Drosophila melanogaster: one gene and its partner. The protein of the gene in region 2 interacts with the protein of the main gene of each other region in a pairwise test. Each region holds a gene or a part of one and is shown on either strand. Other genes may lie near its edges.

Region 1 (5,416 bases), on a different chromosome or scaffold from region 2:
TTTGATGAACCGGCACGTGGCACGTGATGCTACCGGTCGATCCTTGGGTCACGGTCACCGATGCCGCTTGGGATGCCGATACCGATGCGCACGGTACACGGATGCGGAAGCTGAGACGGGCACTTGTACCACGGAACACAGTAACCAAAGCCGTTGGATATCGAACCTAGGCGAGTAATTAATTGACAATCGCTTGGCCGTGGACTCCAGCGACCCGTAATTGGCGGAAGGCCGGCCATCCGCCATCCGCTATCCGCTATCCACTTTCCGTCGTCCGTTTGCCGTGCTCCGTACTGCCGAGCCGAGCCGAATCGGATGGGATTGAGTTCAAACCGCCGTTTTGGCCAGCCTGCCGCCCGAAAACAGTATGGCCACGTATTTTGAATGCAGCGCCGATGCCTGCGAGCTTTTCAGCTTTTGAGGGAAGCTTTCGTGGAGGCAGCTCCGTTGGAGGCCACCCCCTCCTCCGCTTTGTACGGCTCAAGTCACGTTGCACGTACCCCTTGGGCGCTTGAATAGCATCTCGTTCCACAACAGTCCCTAGTGCCCACTCCACTGCGTCCACCTGTTGCCGGTGGCCATAAGCCACTTGTTGTCGTCTGCCGCTTGCCTAGCTCCTTCTGAGGAGAGCCAATTAGGAGGACCCGCATTCCCCACTCGATATAATCCGATCGCACGTCCTCCCGATTAAAAGGCCGCAAAACCATTTACCGTAGTTAACCAAATCTATAAAATGCATATGTTTCGATTTGAAGATGACATAAGCGACATATAACCTTGCAAACTATTATTATTAGCAGCTAGGTAAGTGGAGCATGCAATGGGTTATTATACTTGTTTACGTATACAAATTGTTATGATAAATGGAATGTGAAATGGGGGGGGGGGGGGTGGGCTTTGAGTGCAGCTGCGCTATGTTTTCATAACGCGATAAGCGGTCAGGATTACACTCCTCCCCTAGCCCCATCCTCCTCCTCCACCTCTTGCAGTTGGTCCTGCTCCTCCGGCTGGGTATCAACGGTATCGTTGGTGTCCGCATTCAGGTCCACCCAGTTGTCATCGCTGATTTCGTCAATGGTATCCGTGTCATCCACTACGGCCGCCACGCTCACGTCATCCGTGGAGCCGGAATTAGTGGTGCCAGTGGTTGTGGTGGCCGTGACGGCGGACGAGGGTCTCAGTATCTCCTCCTGAGTGGCCGGAGTCGGGGTCGTCGACGTGGTGTACGATGCGGAGGAGGGTGTCTCCGAACGGTAGCCCATTCCCGTAATGTACGACCCGGACCCAGAACCCGAGCCCGATCCAGACCCTGATCCGGATCCCGATGCGGTTTCCGTGGCCGTTTCCGTGTTGGAACTGCAACTTGCCGTTGTTCCCGAAGTGGAGGCGTCGTCTCCGGGGAGGGCGTCCTGAGAAAGCCTAGGTCGCGGGGCGCCCTTTAACTTGTTCTTTTGGCGGGCAACCTCATAGTCCTTGAGATCGGACAGCTTGAGTGTGATTTTCTGCAGATCGCGCTTCAGCATCTCGAAGTCGAATTCCTGATTTTTGCTGATGATCCGAAAGACTGGTGGTCACGCGCCGATCGCAATTAGAACAGTGACTTTTGTATAACAGTCACTGGGCCAATAGCGGCTTTATACCTTCACTGGCCCCCATAGAGTGACCGAAAATCACTTTTACTGTCATACATATGCAATGTAATCGATTCTTTATTGTTGAGTAGGATTTAACTTTGTTTACATATGTACATATATCATATTTGTACTACATCCAACCCAAATTCAAAGACATGCGAGTAATGTATTCGCTATTTGCAGTACATTTATATTGCGGTGAATGATGGGGGAAAACCAGTACATATACATATACGAATGATGGTGCAGTGATGAGCATGGAGCGATCGAGAAAAAAAAAACAGTATGCATTACGATCTTGGGGATAGGTAGTGGTCCTAGTAGAAGCCGTAGTGGCCATGGTGGTACGGATAGTAGCCGTGGTGTCCGCCGTAGTAGGGCGCCGCATGGACGTATCCGTAGCCGCCGTAGTAGGGACTGCTCAGTCCACCGTAGCCGCCGTAGTGACCGTGTCCATAGGCACCGTATCCGCCGTATCCGCCGTAGCCGCCATAGCCGTGGCCGAACCCGTAGATGCCTCTCTTCTCCGTCTTCTTCTCATCCACGGCGGATGGCTCCGGCTCCAGAGCTTCAGGAGCAGGCTCCGAAACTGCTGCCCAGGTGCTCATGAAGCAAATGGCCAGGATGACGAACACGCACTGCACAGAGAAAAAAAGGTTCGGTATATGAAACATTTGAAACGATGTTAACAAATGATTTGTTTCAAATTGTAGCCAGAGCACTTCCAGCAATTTTAAATAACTTGTATTTTGTTGGATAAACTGTCACTCAAAAAAAAGTCCACTCGTTTGCTTGACCGGTGTCCTGGTATCCTGGTATCCTAATGTCCTGGTGTTGCTGCTTACCAAGAACTTCATGTTGCTGCTGCAGATGTTGCTAGTGGCTGTTGGCTGGTTGACTTGATGGGTAGGGCGCCAGGCGAGGTTTGTTGATGGCTGCCAGTGGCCCGACGCTTTTATAGTCACCCGGCTTGGCTTATTGTTGCCAGTTGCTGCTACAGTTGCAATTATGCAAACTGACAATAACGGCGGCAGCAGCAGCAGCAGCAGCGATTGTTGCAGCTGAATTGAATGCATGACGGGTTGAGGACTTGAAACCGAATATTGTTTATGCTGCGGAGCCAAAAGGTCATCCATCCGCTCATCCGGCGGAGGAGAACTTGGCGGAGGATTGCAGTGGGGGGAGTGAGGTGGAGTGGGCGTGGAAACTAACGATATCGGTTATAATTGCCAGCGTAGTCGAAATTCTAAGATCCCAGGCTCGTTGGGTAACCGAAGTGGGGCAGCAACGCGATCCACAAGCAACGTGCAACACGAGACACTCGACGCGTTCCACAATCACCAAGTGCCCCTCTCGTACACGGTATGCATATCGTGTAACACTTTCACTGCCAGATCGGATGGCCAGCAGCGCCCAAAAGGCGCACTATTACCTAAGCTCGTTCAGAAGCTGGCCAAATGCTGGGATGCCACTGGCCCCGTGGGAATCGCATATGCGCGCCAGCATTATACACAAATTACAAACAATTGCACGTTTGGCAGCGTTTTGGCATTTTAATTAAGCTGCCAGACAGCTGAGATCTCTGCCAGATCATTTCCAATGCAAAGTCTTATCGACAGAATATCCAAAGTGCACGACTTTGACGGAGACCTCTGGCTTAAGGGGTATATTGGGACAAGGATCGGTGACCAGGTCAATGGTCATTAGTTTTAATGGGCTTGAAACTAGGTTGAAGAGATCTTCTATTCAGAGGAGCACAGCTTTTGCTTAATATACTAAAGTTTTAAAACAATTTGATAGCCATTTGGGCAGACGACTCTGTTCTGCGCGTTCCATTATTCTCGATCACTTCCGTCTGCCGGGGGTACTTGCTACCCAGTACCCAGTGCCGTGCCCACACAATAAAGGACGACCTTGACCGCAGTGGCAATTGCAAATCGCAATTGCAGTCTGCTGCGGCTGTTGCTTTTGCTGCTCCGAGTTCCCAAGTCATGAATGAAGCAACGCCGGAGGCAACATTGTTGAATGAAGCATGCAAAAGATTTTCCCAATCGACGACGTCTCGCCATCTCTGGCCAAAAGTGGGTGGCACCGCCATTGTCTCCTTCTCCCCGCGGTTGTTTTCGTATCCACATCGTTTAATATTTATGCTCTGCCCATTGGAGGTGAATGCACGCGAGACGCGTTGGGCAAGCGGAAGACCAAGCAGCCAAGGGGTTTGGTCTATGGACTGGGACCTGGTCACGATCCGGAGATGACAACATATTTGATTGCCAGCTAAATTATAATTCTTGACTAAGTCTAGTCCGCCGAACGGGTCGATGTCCATGTCGCTGTCGATTGATTGATTTCCCATTGTAGCCGACCAGTTTGATTTACGGCCCAGACGGCTAATTGCGCATTGTTGGCTTGGTTCCAGGGTTAGATCTTGAATCTGGAATCTTACAATCCCACCGGGCCTGCCGACGGTCCTCCACTTTGGCCAGCTGTCCGAGGTTACACAACAACAACCGGCGTTGGCCGTTTTCAGCTGAAAATGCTTACATTTCCTTACAGTTTATTGCGCTTAACAGACATTTAACAATTAAAGGGGCGGAGGAGGGCGCGCCTAGTACTTCAGTTCCTTGGCCTTGTCGTGGGCTCCCTCGTCCAGGAGCTTCAGCTCCGCCTGCTGCTTCTCCGGTCGGATGACCGTGCAGTAGTGGTAGTAGCGCATTCCCAGGATGTAGGTGCCGTACAGGGTGACTCCAATGCAGGCATACACCGCGCCGCGGTGCAGCTTGTCCAGCAGCGTGTTGGTGTTAATCGGCTTCTTCTGCATGGCGGCAAATCCCTTCCAAGTCCATAAAAGTTTCCGGCAGTCGAGTCCGTCGCCTCAGCTGGTCTGTCAGTGATGACGGCGGCGAATGTATCGATAATTGGGCGTACATTTACTAGCCAAAATAAAGATGAAGACAGTCGAATGAGTACTATATTTTTAAGTGAATTTTAGGAAATCGTTCCAAATGTCCCATTTAGCTTTGAGTCTCACTCGTTTAACGTCGTTTTATCGTTAATCTCACTTTTAGCTACTCTAGCTGGAAAAGGCTTAACTTAAATCGCCGATTAATAATATCGCTGATCTCTGGCCAATCGATATACACCTATACGCACGTGTTTACAAATTTGTGTACTTCGTGGGAATATTTCATCGTATTCTACAACGCCATTGTGAAATAGCTGGACCGAATAGACCTCCGGAGGATTCATGGATCACGAATACGTTGGGGTTAGCCCGCTGGGCGCAGCGGACGGCAAGGGCGCCGGATCGAACGCCGTCATCCTGTGCTGCGAGTGCGGAGTGGCCATCCAGCCGAATCCGGCCAACATGTGCGTCACCTGCCTGCGCAACCATGTCGACATCACGGAGAACATCCCAAAGCAGGCCGTGCTCCACTTCTGTCGTAATTGCGAGCGCTATCTGCAACCGCCGAACGAGTGGATACAGGCCGCCTTGGAGTCCCGCGAACTCTTGGCCATTTGCCTTAAGAAGCTAAAAGGCCTGAAGGAAGTGAAGTTGGTGGATGCCGGCTTCATCTGGACAGAACAGCACTCCAAGCGCATAAAGGTGAAGCTGACTGTGCATGGGGAGATCATCGGGGGAACGATGCTCCAGCAGGTATTCGTGGTGGAGTTCACTGTGCAGAACCAGATGTGCAACGACTGCCATCGGACCGAGGCCAAGGACTTCTGGCGCTGCCTCGTGCAGGTTCGTCAGCGGGCCGAGAACAAGAAAACCTTTT
Region 2 (8,394 bases):
TTAATGTCAGAAATGTATCGTAAAGCGTACAGCACTTATCATCAATCTTTTGCTCTCTGAGCTGCACTATAAACTAACTAACTACATGGGAATCGTCAAAAGCATCTAGGTAATTTGCATTTGATATACACTTATGTTACACTCGTATATCTTAATCTACTCGATAATCGATATCTCATGAGCACACAACGCTCTATATAACATTTGTTTGTCCACTATTGACAGCCCCATTTAGCGACTTGAACAAAATTTTCCTTTCAATTGGGCCCTACTCCCCAGATCTCCTTAAATATATTGACCGTGTCGACTTTCAATTTAGGCCTGTGCAATCTTGAACTCAATTTTATTAATCTATTTTGTGTGCATCTCAATTAAAATGTATCTCCAGCATCTTTCATAATTCCCGCACGACTTGTCCGGGTGAAAGAGATGAATCATTGGGAGATTTCTTCGAAAAATAAGACAGTTTGCCGGGGAAGAAGCCGAAGCCCAAAGAACAACAATTGCAGCTGGGTGTTTGTGAACAAGCAGAGAAAGAAAAATTAAAACTTCAACGAAAAAATCTTTTTTACATCCCACATGGTAGATGGTAGATGGTACATGGTATTGGACTCCCTCCATTTCCCTGCACCTCTTGCATTTTTTCCACGTTCTACAGTGGTCTAAAAATAAAGTGCACGCACTGCATTGATGTGCGAGCATGTGAGTATAAAAGGATGCACTCCGCTTGTCTGTCAGCCAGGCGGACTTTCTTGTAGTTGCTGCTACTGGCAGCCAGTCAGTGCGTTTCAAAGTCAACTCTTTTTAGGCGTCGGCACAGCCTTTAGTGGAGTTCATTAAAATATTTATTTAAAGTCCCCCGCCCCCGCCCCTCACGCATGCCCATACCATACCATACAACCACAGGCAGTTGCTCTTTTATATGACTCGGCTCTTTGTTTACTTCACGGTATACAGCCTTTCTTTATGGCACACACTTGGTGGTATGTATAGGGTATAGGGGGGTACAGCATCAGAATAATATAGGAGCACATACATATGTATATGTTTGTATATGCAGAGGGACATGTGTGTGGCAAATTTTTGCCTGAGCCAGCCCTTCTTCGTCTGCATTTCTACTATTCAGCAAGTGAGCATATGATGTTCCTTATAGCCAGAATAGCCGGAATTGCTTAATTGCTATCTGCAACCGTTGTTCGATGCACTGCGCTCCTTAAATTTTGTTACATTTATAATGAAAGGTTTTCCTTTTAGCAATGCTATCAGCCGCAAAAACTGTTTCCCAAGCTACGTAATCCGTAGTTTAACGAATTATTTGCCAGTTTGCACCACACACCACGAAGCCAGCAATGGCAATAATATAATATAATAAGAGGAAACTTATGAACAACCGCAACACACCGCAGAAGAAAACTCAAAAGGGACAGTGTCTGTGTGGGGAAATCAATTAGTATTGTCACGGGTGGCTCGCAGATACCCCGATATCCACAGATACTCGCATAGTCGCATGTGAACAAGACCCCTGCTCAGTACGAAGTGGAAAATAATGTTCACATACACATACACACAAACCATTTAAGTGACAGCTGGACAAGACTTCGACTGAACGAACAAACAAGTGGCTCTAGGTATTGATTAGACCGACCCGAACCGCCGCACCCGCCATGCGAACCACTAGTGGCAACCACTTGATTGGAATTTACAACAAATTATGGCAATTTGTTGAACAAAGTACGATAAAAGCCGCCTAAAGGTGGCAAAATCATATGCATGGAGAAGAAATGGTAAAAGTTCTTCAAATCCTGGTTTTATTTTGAAAAAAGAAAATTATCTTGTATAGGAAAATTGAGTAGCACGCTATACAAACGATATTGAACACTCTCCTACAGAGGATTGCTACCATATTCTAAAGGAATCTTTCAAATAAATGCCATGTAAATGTTTATAGCACTACAAGAAGTAGCAAAGTAGTAAGAAAAAGTAAGAAGTAAGCAAAGTATTTCGTCGTTAACAAGCCTTCACGAAAGCAATAAAAAAAACTTTTGATTATTGATTATTTATTGCGAAGCACTGTTGGTGGTTTTGCCTGAGTCCACTGTACAGGGGATCAAGCACATTGACTGTGCTTAATTTATATTCAGCACATAACGGACGGGCCGTGACACCAGATACATTTCGATTTTCAGGCAGCTGAAAACGGAAATGGTAATGGTTTTATGCTTTGACCAAAACCAGAAAACCTGCTAACGAGTGTAAATCACTGGCGAGTAAACAAATTTCAATTAAATCGCCGAAAAACAAAGGAGAACAAGGGTGAACCGCGCATCAACGACCACCCTCATTTTGTTATATGTTCTCCGCTTTTGCTGGCTTACATGAAACAAAAAAAAAACACACTCAGAAAGCCAACAAAGCGAATTGAGATCGCAAATTAAATATTTATGTGGGCATAGGCTGGAAGTGGGCTTGCAACTTAATTTAGCCGGGCCAATGCGGCCATCAGCGGACTTTGTGTGTTGTATCTGTGTATCTCTGGGATTCAACGACAGATAGTCTCTCCAGAGTCCACTATTAACTCATTTTGTCTGCACGAATATCTCGTTCTCTTTTGGCCAACAAGCCAAGTCAAGTTGTTCTTGTCTCGGCCTATATTTATCCATTGCATCCGTGTAATGGCTTCGACATTGTCATAAGTGGAAAATATATTCCAACAGTTTACCCTACAAACTACGTACTGAATATGAAGAATATGCCTAGTTTTCTACACGGCAAACTTTTAGGCCGGGACTTTGATCCATCCTAAAAGAGCCCCAATGATGATGTCAGAAGGGCTGTTGACTAGCCAAAAACTCAACGACCAGCTTGCTAACAAACGGGTATTTTGACAGCTTCGGTTCCGCTCTCTTCAGTCAAGTGTGTTGTCGGCGTTGGCTTATCTGTGCCGCTAGCCCGCCCCAAGCGGTTCTCCCACACACACCGCGTTCTGCTGATAAGAAGCGGTGTAAACAGAGTGCTGCATATGTGTGGTGTACAGTGAAACCTCCTGTATGTCGAACTATACTATATTTTTACAGACAGACCTCGCATTCAACCAAAATATGAACAGAGGTCGTCTTACGCAAGAACAACTGTCTTTCACCCATGTACACCCATGGTGTATCTATTTCATTTCTGGCTATTGTTTTTGCAGTCTGGATAAAGATACTGAACCCGTTAGGGGTGCCCAGCTGTAACTGTGTTCCTTGTTCTGCCTTATCGCAAACCATTTATCGGAAGGTCTCTGATATCAGTTTCGGTCTTTTTGCGGAGTTTATTATTGAAGAGTTTCGTCACTATGCAAATAGAGATACGTCCCATGGCACAGAAAAATGCGCTGACCTCATGAGCCGATAAAAATGCAGGGTCCGCCGATGAGGCGGAAAATAACAAGAACTTGTCCACTGACAGACTTTCGAGTGAACGAAAGCGAAATCTATTGAAAAGTAAACATTCACACGCAGGACGATCGCAGCATAATGTGTCAGAGGGGGCGTGGGGAAGGGCGAGAAGTGGGTGGTGTTTCGATGGGGTGGAACGTCGAACAAATGCAATGACCTGAATATGGAGCGCTGTGTGCAGAGAAATGTGAAAAGGGCGATAAAAATGAGGCAGGATGCGGGTAAGATGAAAGGCGAAAGGCGAAAAAGCAAGGAAATTGTATTCAGCTTGAATATATTAATAGGTGGACAATGTGTACTTCGACTGGGAGCAAAATAAGCATTTCAGAGCCATTCTTCCTCTTTTCCCGTATAAAAAAAAAAAACGCTATCTTTACATCCAAATTGGATGTTATAGCATATCCTATCTTACAAGTGGCATCATAAGTTCTATCGAAATGTGATAAACCTAAAATCACATTCATATTCTTTACCGTTTTTATGACAAATGGCTTGTGGGCGAAAAATACATTATGAGTAAATCTCAATTTGCATGCTGCGTGAAAGGAGTATTGGCGACAGCTATGAGCTGGAAAATTCGTTTATTCGAATCCCTCATTCACAACACTCCCCCCACTTGACCCCTGGATGGATTCACACTCACTGCAATGACGTTTGGGCGAGTGCTGAAAGGTAAACATGTGTAGCCAAAACACGCAGCACGAAGCCCTCCGAAGGCAGGCAAAGTAACGGTACAAGGCGCGGCACCTGTTTACCGAGCGCAAGGGGAATGGGAAGGGGAGAGGAGCGCAAAACCCTGGCTCTCGGGCGTGAGCATGTATGCGTGAGCTGGGAGGCTGAGAGTGTCCTTGTGACTGGCCTGGCCTGGCCCAACAACAACAGCAATGGGGTGGGTGCTTGGGCAGGGGGTGTGGGAGGGAATCGGAGTCTGCACTTGCCTGCTCTATCGCGCGCTCGCTCTCGCTCTCGCGTTCGCTCGCCCAGCTCGGCAGCGTTGTATCTGTGTGTGTGCGCGGTTGAAGTCGTTGTGTGTGTGCTGGAATTTACGTGCTTATTGAATTTTCAGAGAGTTGCGCAAAAAACAAAAAAAAGCGGACGAGTTCGACGCTTTGAACTACAATTAATTTTAATTTGATTAAAAGCGCGACGCCAGGCTGGCTTCGCTCATTTATGGGTGTTGTTTTTCGCCGAGCTGCGCCCTTTACACGGATACACAGATACACACTCCCACACACACAGGCGCGCGTAAGCCGAGAATTTTCAGTGCGAAAAATATAGAACGCGAAACCCGTCGAACGTGGCAGGTATTCCCGGAAAATCAAGTGGATCGCGCACTCTGGCAGTTAATCGAATGCTTCGCTTGAATTTGCCCGCACATGCTGTCCCCTGACTTTTCTGGCAATTTTCACTGCATTTTCCGCTGCCCAGTACGTGCATCCGTTCGCGTTGACATCGGGGAAAAAACTCAGATACGATACTCTTTGGCGCTACCACGAGATAGCAGGGCTGCCGAAACATCGATTGCTGCATTATCGATTGTGCTTCGCAACATCATCGATTTGTTTCAGGCCAAAAACGTTATTATGTTATAATATATTTATAATAATTAATTAAGTATAAATTAAAGACTTAAATTAATTTTTAAATTGTAAACGTATTTTTCACAAATGTAAATGTACGATAGTACAAATTAGTTTAAATTATAGAGCATGGAGTGACCATCACTGATCGCGTTACCAACAATTTTTTTTAAATAAATTTGAGCTTGACATATTCGCGCTCTTGATCCTTATACAGTTAAAGCAAACAATTGATCAATTAAAAAATCATCATCTCAATTCTTTCGTAGTATTATTCATACAGACAATTATTTTATTACCAATTTTTCCCTTTTTAGTTTACACCTACGCCACTCAGTGTTATAATAAAATGTTTTGCAATTCAAGCACATATTTTATTGGTAAATATATATTTTCAGCAGTATAAACAGTGTCGGCCAGTGCCGGCCATTCATGAGATTTTAAACAAAAACTACTTACAAATGGGAAATTTGATGGCAAAAAAATCATCATATAATATAGGAAATCGTTAGTGCATTCACTTTTTGGCCTTGGCCTTAGACTTTGAAGCCGTGGAAGATGTAGCCTTTTTGGATCCACCAGACGCTTTTGACGTAGTTGTCCTCTTTTTGGCTTTGATCAAACTATCCAGCTCTAGGTTGTCCTTGTCCTCGTCTTCCTCTGATGATAAGTGGCCACCAGCTCCGTCCTCTTCGCCCGGACCCTCGTCCAAGTAATCGTCATCCGCTCCAGCAGCCTCTGATTTCTTCTTTTTGATGCCTGCTTGAGCGGAATAGGAGTATGCCATAACCTCCTTGTTGTAGGATCGCGTTAAAGCGGCTTTTACTCTCCCATCCACTGCGTCCAGTGGGGATTTCTTGCCGGGCCAGGATGTAAGCTCGACCAGCGAGTCCAGATCCTCACGGAGTAGATGGTAATCCTTCATAACGTCTAAAGCAGCGGGCACACCCTCCTGCCCATCCTTTGCAAGAGGTCGCACAATATTATCCAGAAGGAAGGGGGCGTAATCCAGCCTCACTGATAGCCTTGAGCCCGAGGTGCAGACCCTAGTATGATCATGCAGCTCCTGGGCCAGCCTGGCACGTTTTCCAGACTTGGAATTCTTGCCCAGCCACCCGGGAAAGTTAATCTGTCCAGTGAAGTGGCCACACATGTGCTCGCCAGGAAGGACCGAGCTGAAAAAGGCCTGAGTGGGTAGAAGACTCCAAGCAGAATTCGCACGAATACGCTTTTCAACAAGGTCACCCAAGCTTAGGGCATCTGCCGTAGCTGCCACCTTTGCCAGGACATCCTTTCTGCAAAGAGTGAAGTTGGTGAATGGGTACGCCCTTGGCTTAGGTAAACTAGACTTACTTGTTTCCCTGTGGTAGGACCTGCAGATAGTTTTGCTGCACAAAGAGCGGGGCCAGGCTGTAGTCGTGAAAGAAAAGGTCGCTCTTGTCGGCAAAAGACATGTGTTTGTGCTCGTCCGCGGTGAAGACTTTTCGCACCACCTCCCAGGGTCCCAGCTTCAGATCCTTGGTGGCAACCTGCTGCCCTGACTTTTGGGAAGCGTCTTCCTTGGCGCTCAGCAGGGCAATGTGGTTAATGGATTGCCGAATATCGTTGTTGGTAGCCGCTATGATTTCTTCCACTTTGGCCGGTGATATCTTTACTTTTTCCTTAAAGCAGATGCTCATTATTTTCCCTTTGATTTGCTCGAGGCGAGGCCTCTGAAATCGCAGATCGTAGCAATAGTTAACCAGGGATCGAATTTTTGGATGGTTGCGATCATTACACATGCAAATAATTGGAATAGAGCTATCCTTGATCAAGGCAATCAGCTCCTGCATTCCACCACGGTCCTCGTTACCGGCCATGCCATCAACTTCGTCCATTATGAGCACATGCTTGCGGGAGACCGCTTGGCCTTGCCCTGTAAAGTAACCGGAGAGGGATTTGTTGCTCAGCAGCGTGGACACTTCATCCTTGAGCAAGCGTTTGCTGCGTGTGTCGGAGGCGTTGAACTCCACCGCATCGAAGCCAAGCTCCTTCACTACCAGAGTCGCCGTCGTGGTCTTTCCTATTCCAGGGGGTCCCGAAAGTAGGGCCGCCTTGTAGAAGCTGCCGTCGTCGTTCTTGGCCCAAGGATTGGGCCGTTGGGGCTTCTTGTTTCCATCATGGTTAACATACCACTTGGACAACCAGTTCATCAGCCTAGGAAAATTAAAATAATGTAAAACTTTAACCCTCTCCTGTTTGGCTTTCAGTTTCAAATTGTGACTGTATAATAAATATATAACTTTGAAAGTGGAAGCTACCATTTATACATTTAGGTTACTCACTTGGTCACGTTGCTGGCGGCTCCTGCCTGGCCAACGATTTCTTTTATGCTCGTAGGCTTGTGCTTGTCCACCCAGGCCATCCCGACCACATCCAGAGTCTTCAGATCGGCAGTTCTTGGCGACGGAGGGTGTTCTTTCTGGGAGCTGGGCTCTTTTTTTACTTTCAAGGTAACAGCTGGTACATCATTAAGCTTATCCTTCGTCTCCTTCGGGGAAGTGTGTTCTTCCTTGACTTTATGTTTGGCGATATCATGCTTCTCGCCATATTTCAGTTTAGTGGCTTCCTTCTCCTTTTTATCACTGGACCTTCTAGAAGTCTTGACTTCCTTTTTCCCTTTCTCCTCGGAGCTGTGCTCCTTCTTCGGGCTTTTCTTCTCTTCCTTTACCTGCTTAGCGATTCCTGATTTCTCCCTGATTAGATCGAAGAGCCCGTCCTCGCTGAGAATGGGTATATTGAGTTCCTCAGCCACAGCTAATTTCTTTGGTCCAGCCTCTTCTCCTACGACCAGATACTTGAGTTTCTTTCCAACCACGGTCATCACCTTTCCGCCATACTCCTTGATCACGGACTCCGCCTCCTCTCGTTCCATGGACTCGAGGACTCCGGTTACGACAAAGGTTAAGCCACTCAGACAATCCGGGGATCCCTTTGGAATTTCTTTGCTGCCGGGGTTCAGGCACGAACTGCGGTTTTTGTACTTCTGGTAGAGCACGGCGGAAGCACGTTTACGCTCGTGGCGTTCCTCGTCTGTTAGGACACTGGATTCTAGATCTGCCGCAGGTTTCTCCTTCTTCACACGCGGAGTGGTGGCTTTGGATTTTGTTGACTTGGGTTTTGGCGGTTCCGGGCTGCTGTTCTTTGCTCTTTTAGGCGAGGGAGAGCTCCTGGTTATCGAGTGAACCTTTTTTTCGGGGGCAGCCTCTTTGATACTCTCGTCCAGATCAACTTCCATTAAACTCCGGTCAATGTCTTCGTTCTCGAACTCGAGAACAGCTTTGGTCTTCGGCTTGGGCACAATCACCCGTTTGGTTTCTCCACCGAAAAGCTCCGTA

Evidence for each region. Proteins that work in one complex are often made in the same cells at the same time.
Region 1: the proteins of Cdep (region 2) and CG3457 interact in a two-hybrid assay, tested with the Drosophila melanogaster proteins (one large-scale study listed by BioGRID).

Annotation. Positions count from the first base shown.
Region 1 is NC_004354.4:2,184,004-2,189,419, reverse strand, and holds CG3457 (uncharacterized protein), read right to left. Parts: upstream 1,601-5,416; 5' UTR 1,524-1,600; coding exon 945-1,523; 3' UTR 501-944; downstream 1-500. Other genes in the region: CG17777 (uncharacterized protein), read right to left, coding at 1,952-2,272, 2,480-2,491; CG17776 (uncharacterized protein), read right to left, coding at 4,243-4,455; Nmd3 (Nonsense-mediated mRNA 3), read left to right, coding at 4,882-5,416.
Region 2 is NT_033777.3:4,907,067-4,915,460, reverse strand, and holds the start of Cdep (Chondrocyte-derived ezrin-like domain containing protein), read right to left. Parts: upstream 4,910-8,394; 5' UTR 4,376-4,909; intron 1-4,375. Other genes in the region: Gnf1 (germ line transcription factor 1), read right to left, coding at 5,535-6,312, 6,371-7,279, 7,342-8,394.